Linked DNA regions of Lepisosteus oculatus. The protein of the gene in region 2 purifies or fractionates together with the protein of the main gene of each other region. This does not show direct contact. Links are inferred from orthologs where the notes say so. Each region holds a gene or a part of one and is shown on either strand. Other genes may lie near its edges.

Evidence for each region.
Region 1: the proteins of card11 (region 2) and malt1 purify together in Homo sapiens (affinity purification with western blotting; 6 studies listed by BioGRID and IntAct, with this or other methods). This does not show direct contact. The link is inferred for Lepisosteus oculatus from reciprocal best matches to the Homo sapiens genes CARD11 and MALT1.

The regions. Positions count from the first base shown.
Region 1 is NC_090698.1:20,401,484-20,408,852, forward strand, and holds the start of malt1 (mucosa-associated lymphoid tissue lymphoma translocation protein 1), read right to left. Parts: upstream 3,002-7,369; 5' UTR 2,866-3,001; intron 2,850-2,865; exon of another isoform or gene 2,729-2,849; intron 1,000-2,728; 5' UTR 905-999; coding exon 753-904; intron 1-752. Other genes in the region: alpk2 (alpha-protein kinase 2), read left to right, coding at 6,563-6,573. UniProt on the Homo sapiens protein: Protease that enhances BCL10-induced activation: acts via formation of CBM complexes that channel adaptive and innate immune signaling downstream of CARD domain-containing proteins (CARD9, CARD11 and CARD14) to activate NF-kappa-B and MAP kinase p38 pathways which stimulate expression of genes encoding pro-inflammatory cytokines and chemokines.
Region 2 is NC_090714.1:9,322,244-9,330,337, forward strand, and holds the start of card11 (caspase recruitment domain-containing protein 11), read right to left. Parts: upstream 3,023-8,094; 5' UTR 2,853-3,022; intron 1-2,852. UniProt on the Homo sapiens protein: Adapter protein that plays a key role in adaptive immune response by transducing the activation of NF-kappa-B downstream of T-cell receptor (TCR) and B-cell receptor (BCR) engagement.

The DNA of each region.
Region 1 (7,369 bases), on a different chromosome or scaffold from region 2:
GACGAAGCATAAGCACTGAAGAAGGATTAGGTAAAACGTGATAAAATGTAGTTAATTTGGCAAAATGCATGAAAATGATCTCGGTGTCTTTAAAGAGGCTTTATCAGTATAGAACAATACTAATAAAGCCTCTTTAGAGTGATATCAAGTCACTCTAAAAAGTGTCATCACTGTAATTTCAGTTCTTTAGTGTAAGTTGTTAAAAGTAAAATAAACATTGTTGGTCTCGATATTCACCTGTTGCATTGTCAAGCCTCTTAGTAAGTAATCTGATTTTTTCTAGGTAATACAGTAAGATATGTGAGCCCACCCACAGCACTTGAAAATTATTCTGCTTCTTTTGGATTAGGTTTATATTGTTTTACTCATAGAAAACACACTCTTTGTGAAATAACAAACAAAAAGACCTACTGTATGCTCTATATGGCATAAGTACTTTACCAACAACACAGAGTCATTACATTTTCATTCAGGAATTATTTAATGGAACTTTACCAGAGAGCTGGGATGGGCAACTGTTCAAACAAGAGCACTGAACTTCCAAGTGCAGTTTGTCCCAGGCAATATTTAAATCTGCTGAAGCATCTCCCACATTTCTGAAGCTACACAACACACAAACCTGGAGACCCAAAAGCCTTTCATACTCTAAAGGGATGCTATAACTGAATGAGACCTGTGTCATATTTACTCAGTACATGCAGGAATGTAGCACACACTTCTTGGAACTGGTCACTACATCAAAAGTCACTCACCTCACTTTAAAACGTCTGTCACTGGCAACAATTTCACCCAGCTTCCTCCATCCTTTGTTGTTGGTTTTGTCAAGCACTTCACTCAGCTTCTTCAGAATGGGCTCCTTTAGTGTGTTAACATTTAAAGAATAGAAATCTGAGGAATCTGACATCTCTGCAGCTGGTAGCTTTCTCAGCCTCAGACACAATTCTGAGTTTCAGAAATTCACGGCAACATCCGTTTAGGCCAGGTGCAGTCCTGTCCCCCCTAAACACATGACATTATTAACATTATTAACCAGGCAAATGTCAACCACCTTGTATTACAAAATCCAATCATCATGGGCCTTATCATTCTTGTGCCAAAAGGATGTAACATGGAACTACAGATATACTGTAGGTTCTTTCTGGTCAGTTTCCTCTTTTGGTGCTACTCCTTTTGATGACATTTCCTAAGAGGATTCTTTACTTCCAGAAAAAAAAAAACTTCCTTAATTTGGATGTTGCAGTTACTTGTACTATTTTACTAGTAATCCCGAATCTTTGTATAAGACCAGACAAAGAAAATCCAGAAAGTCAAGGACATAATTGTTACAGTAGCTGCTTTATCTCGGCATTCTATCTATGAATCATGCAGCCACATTTACATTAAAAAAACCTTTATCAACTTGCTCAACACAGGCTTATTTTCTTTCACAGTACAGTAAATATGTAAGCTGTCACACAAATCTTTCATGCACAGTATCTTCTTTGAGAGAGTCCCTGCAACCATTTTACATCTGCATTTTCAAATGTTTTTGAAGGGTAAGAAGTAAAAACTGCAGCTCATAAAACTGTTAAACACTTCAGAGTTTTAATGAGATGCTGTTCAGTGCTACATGAAGAAACATACATCTACCTAGATACAACAAAAACAAATAAAGTGAATGCAGGAAACTTAATAAGAAAAATCCGCTAGCTATTAGGTGTTTGTGGACATTAACAGACTAAGGCTCCAAGTATTCTAATAACCCAGTATGCTGATTCTCAAAGAGAATGCACTTGTGGCAGGTGGAATGTGTATAAGGTATAGCATCCTTGGGTTTGGAAAGGCACTTTATAAATAAAAGTTATTATGATTAGTATAGAATTAACCGCCTAGTTGTCTAGCTATAACAAAAGTATTGTGAACAACAGTGGGGCTGTGCTCAAAACTCAGATTTGTTGATGGTACTGACCAAACTTCCAAATGTGGGATGTACTGTAACCTTACAGTAAATATGAATATGAAGTCCTTTTAGCTGAAAACATAATAATAAGTATTATACATGATATGTGCACAGTAATAGAACTAATAGTACTGTTCTCTAATAAGGTGGCCATCCAGAGACTGGGCAACTCTGTGCTAAGTGGATGAAGAAAATAAATATCTTCCTCCCTTCTCCAAACTTAAACTTCCATGTATTCAGGCTAAGCGAATATAAACTGTGCTTAAAACTGAGCTGCATAGTGCCAGATACCCAGGATTTATTGTTTTCAGTCTACTTGGGTTCTTTCATTGCCAGCTTTAACTAATCACGCTAATCAACTTGTTTGATTTAACTCACCAATTACTTATTTTTACCCCAGGAAAATACAGCATTTCTTGAATACAATTAACCCTTAGGTTAAAGCCCTTCCTGTCCTGTACCTCTTCGTGCTGCTGCTAATCTGGCCTCTTGCCGTTTGCAAACTGAGAATGCGTAACTATAACATTCCTTACTGCACCCACAACTGAGCAAACTTGCAGTTAATGAGTAAAACTAATACTCTGACATCAACGAACTGTACAATAGCACTAAAAAGTAAAAAGGGAGAGAATACATTAAATGGATATGCACAGGATGATAGTTACAGTACCAGCATTCGCTACACAAGTGGTGGCGTTATTTCAAAGATAAACTCTCAATATACAGTACAATTAAAAGCGCTAAATGTTATTTTAAAAAAACAAATCTTACAATACTAAAAACGCAAAAAGTGAGTTTTCACAAGCAAAGCATAATAATACACGAGTCATTTCGAAGCATGCTTTTGCTAAAAGCGAAAGAATTTGTAACACAACGCATACTTCATTTCGGGGACAACAGGCAGAAAGAGGTAAAATGTCACTCACCTATGTACGATGCAACAGACCGATGAAAAAAAATGACTGATGTGGTAGAATCATGCTTCTCGTTTTTCTGTCTAGATTGGAGTTACCACATGCGTTTAAAGGAGTGACGAAAACGGGGAAATCCAGATGTCTACTAGGAAAGAAAATAAAAGACAAATATCTTACTTCCTGAAACATAAGGGGCGTACTTTACTCTTTCCATTGGTTCACTCAAAATGTTGCTTTATTGTACTTTAGGCAACAATACGTCTTTTCGAAAACAGAAATTGTATAATACTTATCAATCTGGCATTAACATTGTTTTGAATAAAAGTTCATAATAATGAATTACATCTTCAGTACGTTGAACAAATAAAACGAGTACTATTTTTATAGTAGCAGCTGCCAGACTGCTACCTACTGTACGTCGAAAAAGTAAGGCGGTTGGAACGACTAACTTAAGATAAATATTTACAAGGAAGTTAATTCAGTGGTTTTAACAAATGAGTCAACTAATTAAGTACATCTTACCAATGTTTTTCTGTGAGTCGTGTTTTAACTATCCAGTTAAAATACAGTAAATGACTCGGGAGATAGTTACTAAGACATCGTTTTTAACAGTCTACGGTATATTTCTCTTGACTATTTTTAAAAACACCAAACGAAAAGCTACAAACTGTTGCAGTGTATAAGATATGTTTGCAGAACGTTTTTAGTCAAAACATTGTAAACAAACAAAACAAATAAACGGATAATGTAACAAATTATATACTGTACAAATTAAAATCCCAGGTACAATAACCTACAGTATATACAGTACAGTAGTTTATACAACAGGTGAGGAAAGAATAAATCAAAAAGTAACAAAAACAAAATCAAGAAAGGGTAAGAAAAATCAACTGCTGTGTTAACTGTTCACTAGCACAGTTTATAGACATATTACTGTACATCATTCATTTACACATACAAATTAAATAGCGGTTGAAGGTGATCTGAGAGGTACAGTATATTGTACACAAAGGAATATATCATCTTTTATAGACCTTTGTAGAACCTTTACAGCAGGCCTCGCTAATAAATTTAAGTAGATACTTTGATTTAGAGATTGGTGGAAGGATTTACTGAAAAAAAAGTCTCACGGAGTTGTGGAATTAGTGCATCAAGAGTATCTGTTATTGGAAATCGCAAAAAGGAGTTATCACAGAACATATTTAATGATAGTGAAACTCTGGTAGTTGTATAATTATTATATTCACCCCAAAACCTTATTAAATTTCGATAAAATAATGCTGCACAGTACTTCTTCACACAACTCAGATTAAATCTCCTCATCTACAGACAGACAATCTAACCGTATTGTTCCTCTCAATCAGTAAAACATTATTATTATTAATATACATTTGACATTTTTGCATCGGTGACCTGTGATCAAGTTAATTGCTTTTAGTTTTACTATTTAACATTCTGTATGGATTACTTTAATATTACTGTATTGGAAAACAAATTTCAGTGAACAGATAAAGTTTGGATTTTTGTTTTTTTATTTAAAAAATAATCTGAAGTTCTTAAATTATACAGTATATTTCAAACTTAGCCTTTTACTGCTTTTAAAGGATAATATTGAAATATGTTGGGGAAAAATGGGCTTGAGCAAACAGATGTCAGTTTATTTTTAAACTGACAGAAATTGCGTATTTTTTATTTCTTTTCCACAATCTTACATGAAACGTGACTTAGATCTTTACTGTGATGGTAGTTCAGTATTTTTACATGTCATACAAAATAACTTCCTTCCACAGGGAGCACATCTTTACCAATTGTTTTAACTTTACCTTAACTATTTTACACATTCAATGAAAATGACAATGACTCACATACACAAATTACAAGACAGGATATCTACAGTTATAGTCAGTTCCAGAGATGGAAGAAAAAAAATGTGATACTGGCAGTTTTCAGAGAACACTAACCCTATTCATCAATAAGGTGGAGGATGATTTGAGATAATAATAAAAATAATAATAATTGCTTAGACTTATATAGTGCTTTTCTGGACACTTCACTCAAAGTGCTTTACAGGTAATGGGGATCTCCTCCACCACCACCAATGTGCAACATCCGCCTGGATGATGCGACGGCAGCCATAGTGCGCCAGAACGCTCACCACACACCAGCTATCAGTGGGGACGAGAGCTGAGTAATGAAGCCAATTCATAAAGGGGGATTATTAGAAGGCCATGATTGTTAAGGGCCAATGGGAAATTTGGCCAGGACGCCGGGGTTACACCCCTACTCTTTTGAGAAACGCCAAGGGATTTTTAATGACCACAGAGAGTCAGGACCTCGATTTTACGTCTCATCCGAAGGACGGCGCCTGTTTACAGTATAGTGTCCCCATCACTATACTGGGACATTAGGACCCACATGGACCGCAGGGTGAGCGAGATGAATGTTTTGTTTTCTTAATGGAACACAGCCTTGTATTAATCATTTCATAAATTATCTTTTTTTTGCATCCAACAGACAGAAATACTTTCCAGCTGGCTGTAAAGAAACCCACAACATAATTTGATCATAGCTAATACTAACAGCAGCAAAAGCAAATGCTTTCAAAACCAGTTTATTGATTCCAGTAAATGTGTTCTAGTATACAGTATGTTATTTATGGAAATCTGGCAATATGGAAATGGAAATGGAAAAATGTTCATTATACTGTAGCTCTTTTAGAAACTCACTTACAGCTTCTAATAATAATAATTCCTTACTCTTAGTACTGTGTATAGTGCTTTTCTGGACACTCCCCTCAAAGAGCGTTACAGGTAATGGGGACTTCCCCTCCACCACCATCAATGTGCAGCCCCACCTGGATGATGCACTGACCACCATAGTGTGCCAGTACACTCACCACACATCAGCTACTGTATCTGTGGGGAGAACACACTGCAAGTGATGAAGCCAATTCATAGCTTTTTAGGGAGACAGTTTTTTTAAATGTTGTTTTGAAATCACACAAAACAGAACATGTTTTATAAGTGATACAGTAGGTGAGGTATTTGATATATGTCATTAGACGCATCCAGATAACTCAATGATTCGACCACAGTGACGAATGATGTCTGTGTTTAATATAATAAGAAAATAATATGAAGTAATTATTGCTTTAAATATGACACAATTCTGGGTTCCAATAAAGGGATTTTTTAACATAGTTAAAGTAATATACAAAAACAACAATTTGAAAAGAATACAAGCATAGCTCTGTTATAACATTACCTCTAATGACCTCTCTCTTACTGTAAATGTCTGTTACATGTTGCCTTGTTTTTGCTTTTCTTTCACACATTTACCACATTAAACCAAATGATCCAAAACTAAATGTTAAAATAAAAAAAATTACTCCTTATCCATAGGTACAATATGCAATGACATAAACATACTGTACATTTATAAATCTTTGTCTTATAAGGAAAAACATTTTTCCATTTGATGTTGTTGACAAAACCACAGGAATACAATTTTTGCATGTTCGCAGGCATGTAGGTAGAATAAATATAGATCTGTGATGATGAGGGTTCAGGAATAGCACATGTTCATGCTATCAGGTAACCCAACTTTGTACTTGGGGGGGAAAAAGTTAAAAATAGATTCAGACCCACAGTTTTGCTTTGACATATTTCCACGTTCTATATCATCACTCAGTGCATTATCAGTGCATCGGATGAAAAACAGGTATGTAAAAATAATCTATTAATGTCCTTAAGTGTAATTAGTCTTCTATTTTTAAAACCAATGTGGTGATGTAGATATTGAAAATAATTATGTGACTTGATTCATAAAATATTAAACAAAATGATTATCATTAGCCATCCCTTGACTAATCTATCAGTAATAGGAAGACTACAAACCCTTTAGGACGGTAATTAACTCTAATTAATGTCTTTCTTTAACACAGAGACTTTTAATGAAATATACTGTATATTAAAACTGAATTTACTGTAAGACAAAATATACTGTATGTGGTCTATTTTGTCACTGTTTGATGGATGTCTTACAGTATTAATTGGATATTAAAACATCAAAATATGCATGTACATATTAAAATGTAAACAAATGTTTTTCCCAGTTTAAGTCAAGAAAATATCACCATGATACATTCTTAGATTTCAGTCCATTAGTAGACTTTTCAAATATGTGGGGTCTGCTTCTCTGCTGAATTCACACTAAATGTGTTCTCTTGTCAGAATTGTAGATATTTTAGTTATAAGAAACATTATTTTTCTGTTATTCAGGTGGATGTAAAAGGAATACAAAATTTAAGAGCAGGGAGAGTTTTGTTATATCTGCTACTGTATATATCTGCTAGCTTTATTAAGTATGTACTGAATTTTCACTGACACCGATTTTTAGAATGGGAAATTACAATCAAGTTTCAGTTTTTCTTCATGCAAGGGGATTAGAATCAGATTTTTTTTCCAGGTATGTAATCCAATAGCTTTCTGATGATAATCTTCATCATGCAATGTGA
Region 2 (8,094 bases):
AACACGAACCAGAAGGCTCAAGTGGAAACTACTTTAAAGTGCATTCTAAGATGAGAGCATCAGGAACTTCTTTACCCAAAGGGTTGAGGGAATATAGCCCAACATATCCAGCCAAGATTTTGCACCAAGCCAAGTTGTAAGCATGTTCTTTCAAATAATTATGAGAGTAGGTAAATTAGAGAGAAGATGATATCCTAGTTCCTTTCAAGGAACAGCTGGATGAGATCTTTGGATCAATAAACTACTAATTACAAAACAGGCTAGATGGATCTAATGGCCACTTTTCAATTTTAAACTTTCTTATGTTCTTACTGCATGTCTTTATGAGTTTTCTCCTTGCTAATGTTGATAATGATTTTAATAATGATCAATGGTTAGTTCCTCCAGCATGTCAAAGTTATTAACAAATGTATAGTTTATACTTTGATCTCACAGAAACTTACATCTAGAAAACCTACATTGCAATACTTTCTCCTCCCCTAACCCCCTCTCACCATATTCTGTGAACAGAACCTCACCACTCCTAACCATCTTCCAGCAAATCCACAAAACTGCATCTCGTACTCTAAGTCTCTGCATTGCAGCTTGTGCTTTGTAACCAGCATGGTATTCTCCACTTCACAAAACAGGATTTCACATCAGGAGCAGTTTTCGTGCTCAATTCATGTTGTTCTGCATACTTTTTGCTCAGATACTGCACCTTGCAGCATTTGCAGTGACTGCTTTAGCCCTATCTAAAATATTTTTACAAAACAATACAAAACACTGTGGTAACTAGCTTCTTCATGCTTCTGTTTGGTTTATGTTGCGTAATTATATGTAATACCATAAATTATATCATTAAGTGCACACATGGGTTTGAAATAAAACATTTTGGACACAATGTTACAAAAAATATGTCCTAGAAGAGCAACTAGATACGTTCCCAGGATTAAGTGAATGTACTACACAGACAGACTAAAGGAATTCAATCTTTTAAGTCATGAACAGAGAACACTATGAAGGGACCTTGATACAAGTATTCAAAATTATCAAAGGCATTGACAAAGTCAACCCAATGTGCTTCTTCAGGATCAAGAGTGAAACATGAACAAGAGAACACAAATGGAAGTTGTGGGGAAGACGTCTGGAAGTTTAAAACCAAAACAGGCAGCACTTCTCTATGCAAAAGGATTATGAGAGTATGGAACAAGCTGTTATTGAAGTCCGTGTCTTGGCTTCTACTTAAGAAACTGCTGGGTGAGAGATCCTTCTGTCAAACTGCCAAAGAGAAAATTCTTCAATTTTCTGCAATTTTAACTGAAGCTAAACTTTAAGGCCTTGGAGCAATACGTATTATCAAAGCAATTATAGCCCACTCCCACCAAACCTGCTCAGTACAAGTCACTCTTGTGTTATCTATTGAATGTAACCTATTAAATCTTTCCTCCATAGTCTTTTGGGCTTCAGATATTACTTTCATCCTAGATGTGTTTGTGTTATATTGCTACTGTACACTTACAGCCTTGCTGTTGCTTATAATTCCTACAGGGAATCATTTTGTATTTTTGGACAAAGTGCTTAACACTACGGGCAAACTCAACTGGACTTCAGAAGCTTAAAAAGGTATTAATTTAATTCACATTACTTGTCAAATGTTTAATAGACTATAGTGAATTCTAACATTTTAGACATAAATATATGAAACTGAACAATTAAACTTTGAATTTAAGCTCATAGTTTTGAATAGCTACCACATACAGTAAATTATACTGTAGCTTAAGTGAAGTGAAACTACGTGAATTGGTGAATGGTAACAAAGAACAAACTTTTCAGAATATAATGTACATATATTTTACAATAGGAGAATGTGAGCATTTTGGAAAGGAAAGAAATTCAACTTCAAATTAAAGCAAATTATACATTTTCAGTGTAATTTCATGCAATTTTTTTACGCATTTCAGAATAGCAAATACAGTATACATTAGCAGGAACCAATCACATACCAAAACAGTTAAAGACATACAGGGAGTCACTAATCCATAGAATTTTAACTGTTCTGCTTTCAAGGGAATCAGGATTAAATATTTTGATGCTTGAAGTTTAAAGATTAAAGCGTAAGAGATGTTGCAGTTTATGAAATTAAAAATATTATGGGCAATGAAAAAGTCCTATTTTAAGATTAATCAGTTGGGTTTTCAGAAATGGTAATCAATTATTTTAAATGGTGATGGTTATTAAAATCATTAGATAATTAAAAGTTTTACTGATATTTAAAAACATATTTTTGTTACAATATTAAGACTCAATTACCTGTTCCTTCCTATAAATTACTGTTCAATGTGCTCTTTTATTATGGAAAAAATAACTAAATAGAAAGTAAACTTTTATTTTTTTCTGTATGTTTCAGATATACTCGACATTAAATGTTGCTAATAAGGAAAGTCAGCCTACTGTATGTTTCAAACTAGTTTAGCTACGCCCGCTCTTCCTCTGAACTAGTGTTCAAAATTGGCTTCAGTTCTCGCGCGGATTTGCACTACTGCAGTTAAAGTAGAAAAGCTAATTTAGCTACTGTACTGAAATATAGCATAATCGTCTGAATGTACATGCTTCAAACTTTCCCAGATAATGAATTCAAAATATTCAAAATATTAAAATTCTGATAGAAAAAGATGAGATGAGGACCTGCAATAAGTTTCTTTTCTGCTGTAGAAACGCACTATTTCCACTTTTCTGTTTGTGCGAAAAATGTTATCTGATAATTTTATCAAGGAAGTTATACTTTTGTGACCGGTCAGCTAGAAAAAAAGTCAAATTTACTGAAAGTGAGTAAAGTCTTTACCAGTATGGGAAAAAAAAGGTATTCTTACCTGTTGCTAGAATACTTCTCTTCAGTTAGCTGTCACGATCAGTGACAAGAATCGTCCATTTTTTAAGCATGAACAAGGGGCGTTGCGTTCCACAAGAAAATTGCCTTCTTGTCTCTGCTAATTTCACCTGCGCAACATTAAACTACATACTTGGAAGCACTACTGTCAGAGTCTGTCAAGCTCTGCTGGCGCAGAGATGGTGATGGGCGTGGAAATATTATTGGGGCAGAAAAAAACTGCCTTACTACGTACTGTATAGAAGGGCACTATTTCCATTCTAAGAAATAAACATAAAAGTTACGAACGAGAAGATACCAATTTTTATATCGTATAACCTTTACAAGAAATTAAACCGGGAATGGTTTTTAAAAATAATTTAGTTGAGCGATGGTCGATACAAATAGGGGGGAAAGTACGCTACATTCAATCCTTTAACAATACGTACGCCGGTTTGCAAAACGTGATATTTGAAAAAAAAAAACACGGAGCCATGACATGATGTGTCCATACTCCACATATTCCTTATGACCTTTAGGAAATGTCTGGGATCGGAAAGTATATGATGTCCTCGATAAGAGTTCGTGGAGAATAAGTTAACTGCTTTTGTATCTGATGATAAGTGTATGTAGTTATCAAGCATATATCAAAAAATATATTGAGGAAGTGGGGTTATTGTAGAAGGTATCGTCTAATTCAACTGCCTTGTTGGTGCGTTCTCATTTTAAAGGCAGCATTCACAGTATGTGATGTACCTCATTTAACAGTGGATCAGCACTGAAGCCTGCATAATGTATAATCACTGACTTAATCATTTAGACGTTTACATGCAAAGCACCCCCCCACACACACACAAACAAAAATGACTATTCGATTATAGTCCACATTAACTTATATTAAATAACATGTAACTATGTAAGAATAAACGTTGAGTAAAATTATTGAGAACCTTATTTGGATGAAACTGTTATCAGTTCAAGGTTGATATGATCTAATCTAGCACAGTGCCTTTGGAAAATATTCACCCCTCATTGATTATTTCTTCTTCTGCTCTGTTGCAAAGTCAAATTAAAGCATTATATTTTTTCTACTCCTGTAGAAGTAATTCTCTCTAATGTTAAAATGAAATAAAGTATTTAAAAAAATAAAAATAAAATTTATATATAAAAAAATAAAAATCTGAAAATTACTTAATTGATAAGAAGAAAAAGAAGAAGAATAGCTTATACTTATATAGCGCTTTTCTGGACACTCCACTCAAAGCGCTTTACAGGTAATGGGGACTCCCCTCCACCACCACCAGTGTGCAGCCCCACCTGGATGATGCAACAGCAGCCATAGTGCGCCAGAACGCTCACCACACACCAGCTCTCAGTGGGGAGGAGAGCAGAGTAATGAAGCCAATTCATAGAGGGAGATTGTTAGGAGGCCATGATTGATAAGGGCCAATGGGAAATTAGGCCAGGACGCCAGGGTTACACCCCTACTCTTTTCGAGAAACACCCTGGGATTTTTAATGACCACAGAGAGTCAGGACCTCAGTTTTACATCTCATCTGAAGGACTGCGCCTGTTTACAGTATAGTGTCCCCGTCACTACACTGGGGCATTAGGACCCACATGAGCCACAGGGTGAGTGCCCCCTGCTGGTCCCACTAACACCTCTTCCAGCAGCAACCTTAGTTTTTCCCAGGAGGTCTCCTATCCAGGTACTGATCTAGCTCACACTTGCTTAGCTTCAATGGGTTGCCAATTGTGAGTTGCAGGGTGATATGACTCCTGGTCATAAGTATTCACCCCTTTTGTTTTAACAACGTAAATTGGGTGAGGTATTAAATTATCTTGAGAGATCACACTAAATACGTTAACAAAGTACACCGGTGTTCATTTTGACTCCACTTGTGTTCAATTACTGGAGTGCACAATAAATATCACTGACTGTGAGGTTTCACAACTGAAATAGCAGAACAGATCAATCCTCCTATCATGTAGACCAAGAAGCTGCTTCAAGATGAGGTTGTTAAGAGGAAAAAAAGCTGGAGAAGGTTATAAAAAGATTGGCAAAGTTTTGAACCTTCCTAGGAGCACCATAAAGTCCATTGTAGCAAAATGGCAGACCATGGGACAACCCAGACACTACAAGAAGGGTAATTGTCAGAGAAGTGACCAAGAGACCAGCTACAACACTGACAGAGCTGCAGAGCTCTTTGGCTGAAATGGGAGAAACTGTCCAGACATCAACAATCTCTTCAGCACTTTACAGATTCAGCCTCTTTGGGAGAGTGGCATGAAGGAAGCCACTTCTGAGAAAGGACAACATTAAGTCATGCCTGGAGTTTGCTAAAAGCCATGTGACAAAACCTGAAACCTTTTGTAAGAAAACTGTGGTCTGATGAGACTAAAGTTGAGCTCTTTGGCCTGAAAGCAAAGCACTGTTTTTGGTGCAAACCAAGTACAGCCCAATACCCAGGTAACGCCATCACTACCGTCAAGCATGGTGGTGGCAGCATCATGCTCTGGGGTTGCTTTTAAGCAGGAGCAACTGGAAAGCTTTTGCCATCAAGGGCAACAAGGATGAAGCTTAATACAGGAAAATCCTTGAGGAGACATTTTTCAGTCAGCAAGAGATCTGCGTTTAGGGTGAAGATTCACTTTCCAGCAGGACAATGACCCAAAGCACATGGCAAAGACTATCAAGGAATGGCTTGGGGAAAAAAATAAGGTAAGTATTCTGAAATGGCCCAGCCAGAGCCCACACTTGAATCCAATTGAAAATCTGTGGTATGACCTGAAAATTGCTGTCCACTAATGCTCTCCATCTAAGAGTTGGAGCAAATTTGCATTGAAGAATGGGCAAAAATTCTACAATGTGCAAAGCTCATACAGACATACCCAAGAAGACTCATGACTGTAATTGCAGCTAAAGGACTATGTAGAAAGTATTGACTTGGGGGTGGGGGGTGAATACTTTTGTAAATGAAAAATGTAAGTCTTTCGTTCTGGAGAAATGAATGTTCTTGAATAGATTGATCTTTTATTCTAAAAAGCCATAATAATGAAGCATGTGAAATAATGAAAAATTACACATTATCCAAGGAAAGTCCATAGGCTTATTTTCAGCTAGCAATAATGCCACACAAATTGATGGGCATGACCATTACGCATTACCATATTTCTGTCATCTGCTGAATCTAGTGGTATACGTTTTTTCATAAAATGAAAATTGTGCATGATATTTGCATTGTTTGCCTGCTAAAGATGGCAGCGAACAAAAACATTATTATAGGACCCGTTGTCACTGCCAGATGGAAGAGCTATGCAAATCTGAGTTTTCATCCACATTTGTGTTTTTTTCATGCAGTCACGGGGTCTCCGATGACTTGTTTTGATTCCAAAGATTTTGTTTACTCGCAATTTGAAATTTCTTGACACTTAAACAGTTTAAGCACTGTTTTATTTTTAGGGTTTCTGTTCACTCGTGTAAATATAGGATTTATTATTCCTAATTTTTACTTCTGGTAATTGGTAGGATGCGTCATGCTAGAAGGCATGAAGTCACTCTTCCATCCATCCATCCATTTTCTAACCACTTTATCCAGTACAGAGCCAAGGGGAGCTGGAGCCTATCCAGACAAACAACAGGAGCAAGGCTGGATATATCCTGGATGTGACGTCAGTCCATAAAACGGCACACATAGACAGACTCTCACACTCACACCAGGGACATTTTTCCCAGAAGCCAATTAACTCTCCAGTATGTTTTTGGAATGTGGGAGGTAACCAGGGCAATCAGAGGAAACCCATGCCAACATGGGGAGAACATATAAACTCCATGCAGACAGCACCCCAGTTGCAGAATGAAACCCCAGGTCCCGGAACTGCAAGGCAGCAATGCTAACCACTGCGCGCCCATCACTCTTCCTTTCACAGCAATAAACACAATAACAAATCTTTATGTACATCAATGCTACAGTACATCTGGTGCCAAACATCCACTTTTGCCTTTTGTCTCTCAGTGTTAATGACCCTCCTACATCTATTTCTCTATGTGCATACAAATACACTTTAAGAGAAATGTCAGGAATACTGGTGGTTTCAGGAAAATGGATGTGCCTTATGTGTTAAATATTTTATTTTAAAGCATAGTTCAGGTGGGTAGCTGCATCAGCGTGTGTAGGCTGCAAAGGAACAAGTAATAGGTTTATTCTATGCTGAAAAAAGAAAAAGAGAAGAAGAGAAGAAGAAGAAAGAGAACACAGAAAGAGAAATTTGTCTCTTTTTTCTGTTTTTTCAGCATGGAATAAACCTATTACTTGTTCCTTATTTTAAAACATATTGCCCATGACAAATTATATTCAAGAAAGTGATTCTATGTTATTGCCCTCTCTCTGTCAGGGAACATTTTACCTGCCTTGCCTGAGTCATTAGTGATCAGGAAGTACTGTATTGTGTTAACCTTTTGCTGTTTTTATAAGTGACATTTTTATTAACATAAAATTGTATTTTTAGCTATCTTTTTCAATCTAGTATAGATTAGTATAGTATAGTTTGATAAACAAGGTCAAACGGTGAATAACAGTATTGCCAGCAAGCAGTCCAATATTCCAATAATCAATTATTAGTTACATACAATATTCAATTATTAAATTATTTATAATAGTAATTCAATATTTAATCATTTGATATTGCAATATTCAAATTCTGTTTGCCTTAGCATAAGTTAAGACAAGGTGGAAGGCTTTGAGCCAGGCTTAGTGACAAAGAAACACCCCAAACAATTGTTTAAGGAAATTAAAAATACTTAAAAAACATTTTGAAGTAAATGTGATGTCAGATGCAATGTAGGACAACATCAATGAAATAAAGATCTACTACATTTTACATTTTTATCATTTGTGTCAGAAAGTGCTTCTTGTGGCTCATAGGTAACCCTCAATTGACTAGAACAACAGGAGACTGACTGTATTACATTTGTAATGCTAATATTTACAAAACAACCTTGCCATCTTTTGGATGGTGAGCCTGATTTCAAGTAAAAAATATTTGAAGAAATTGTCTTACAAGACAAGAATTCCAAAGCTAATAGACCTTAATGCTCACCTTTATGGAGACAACCTAGGAAACATTTTTCTGGTTCATATAAATGTTCTAATTAATATTAACAGTAGCAAAATAGGAAATGTTAGCAGCTGTGTAGCTTTCTTGAGCAGGTTACATAAAAGAGAAGTGGCCTTTCAGCTCTTCCT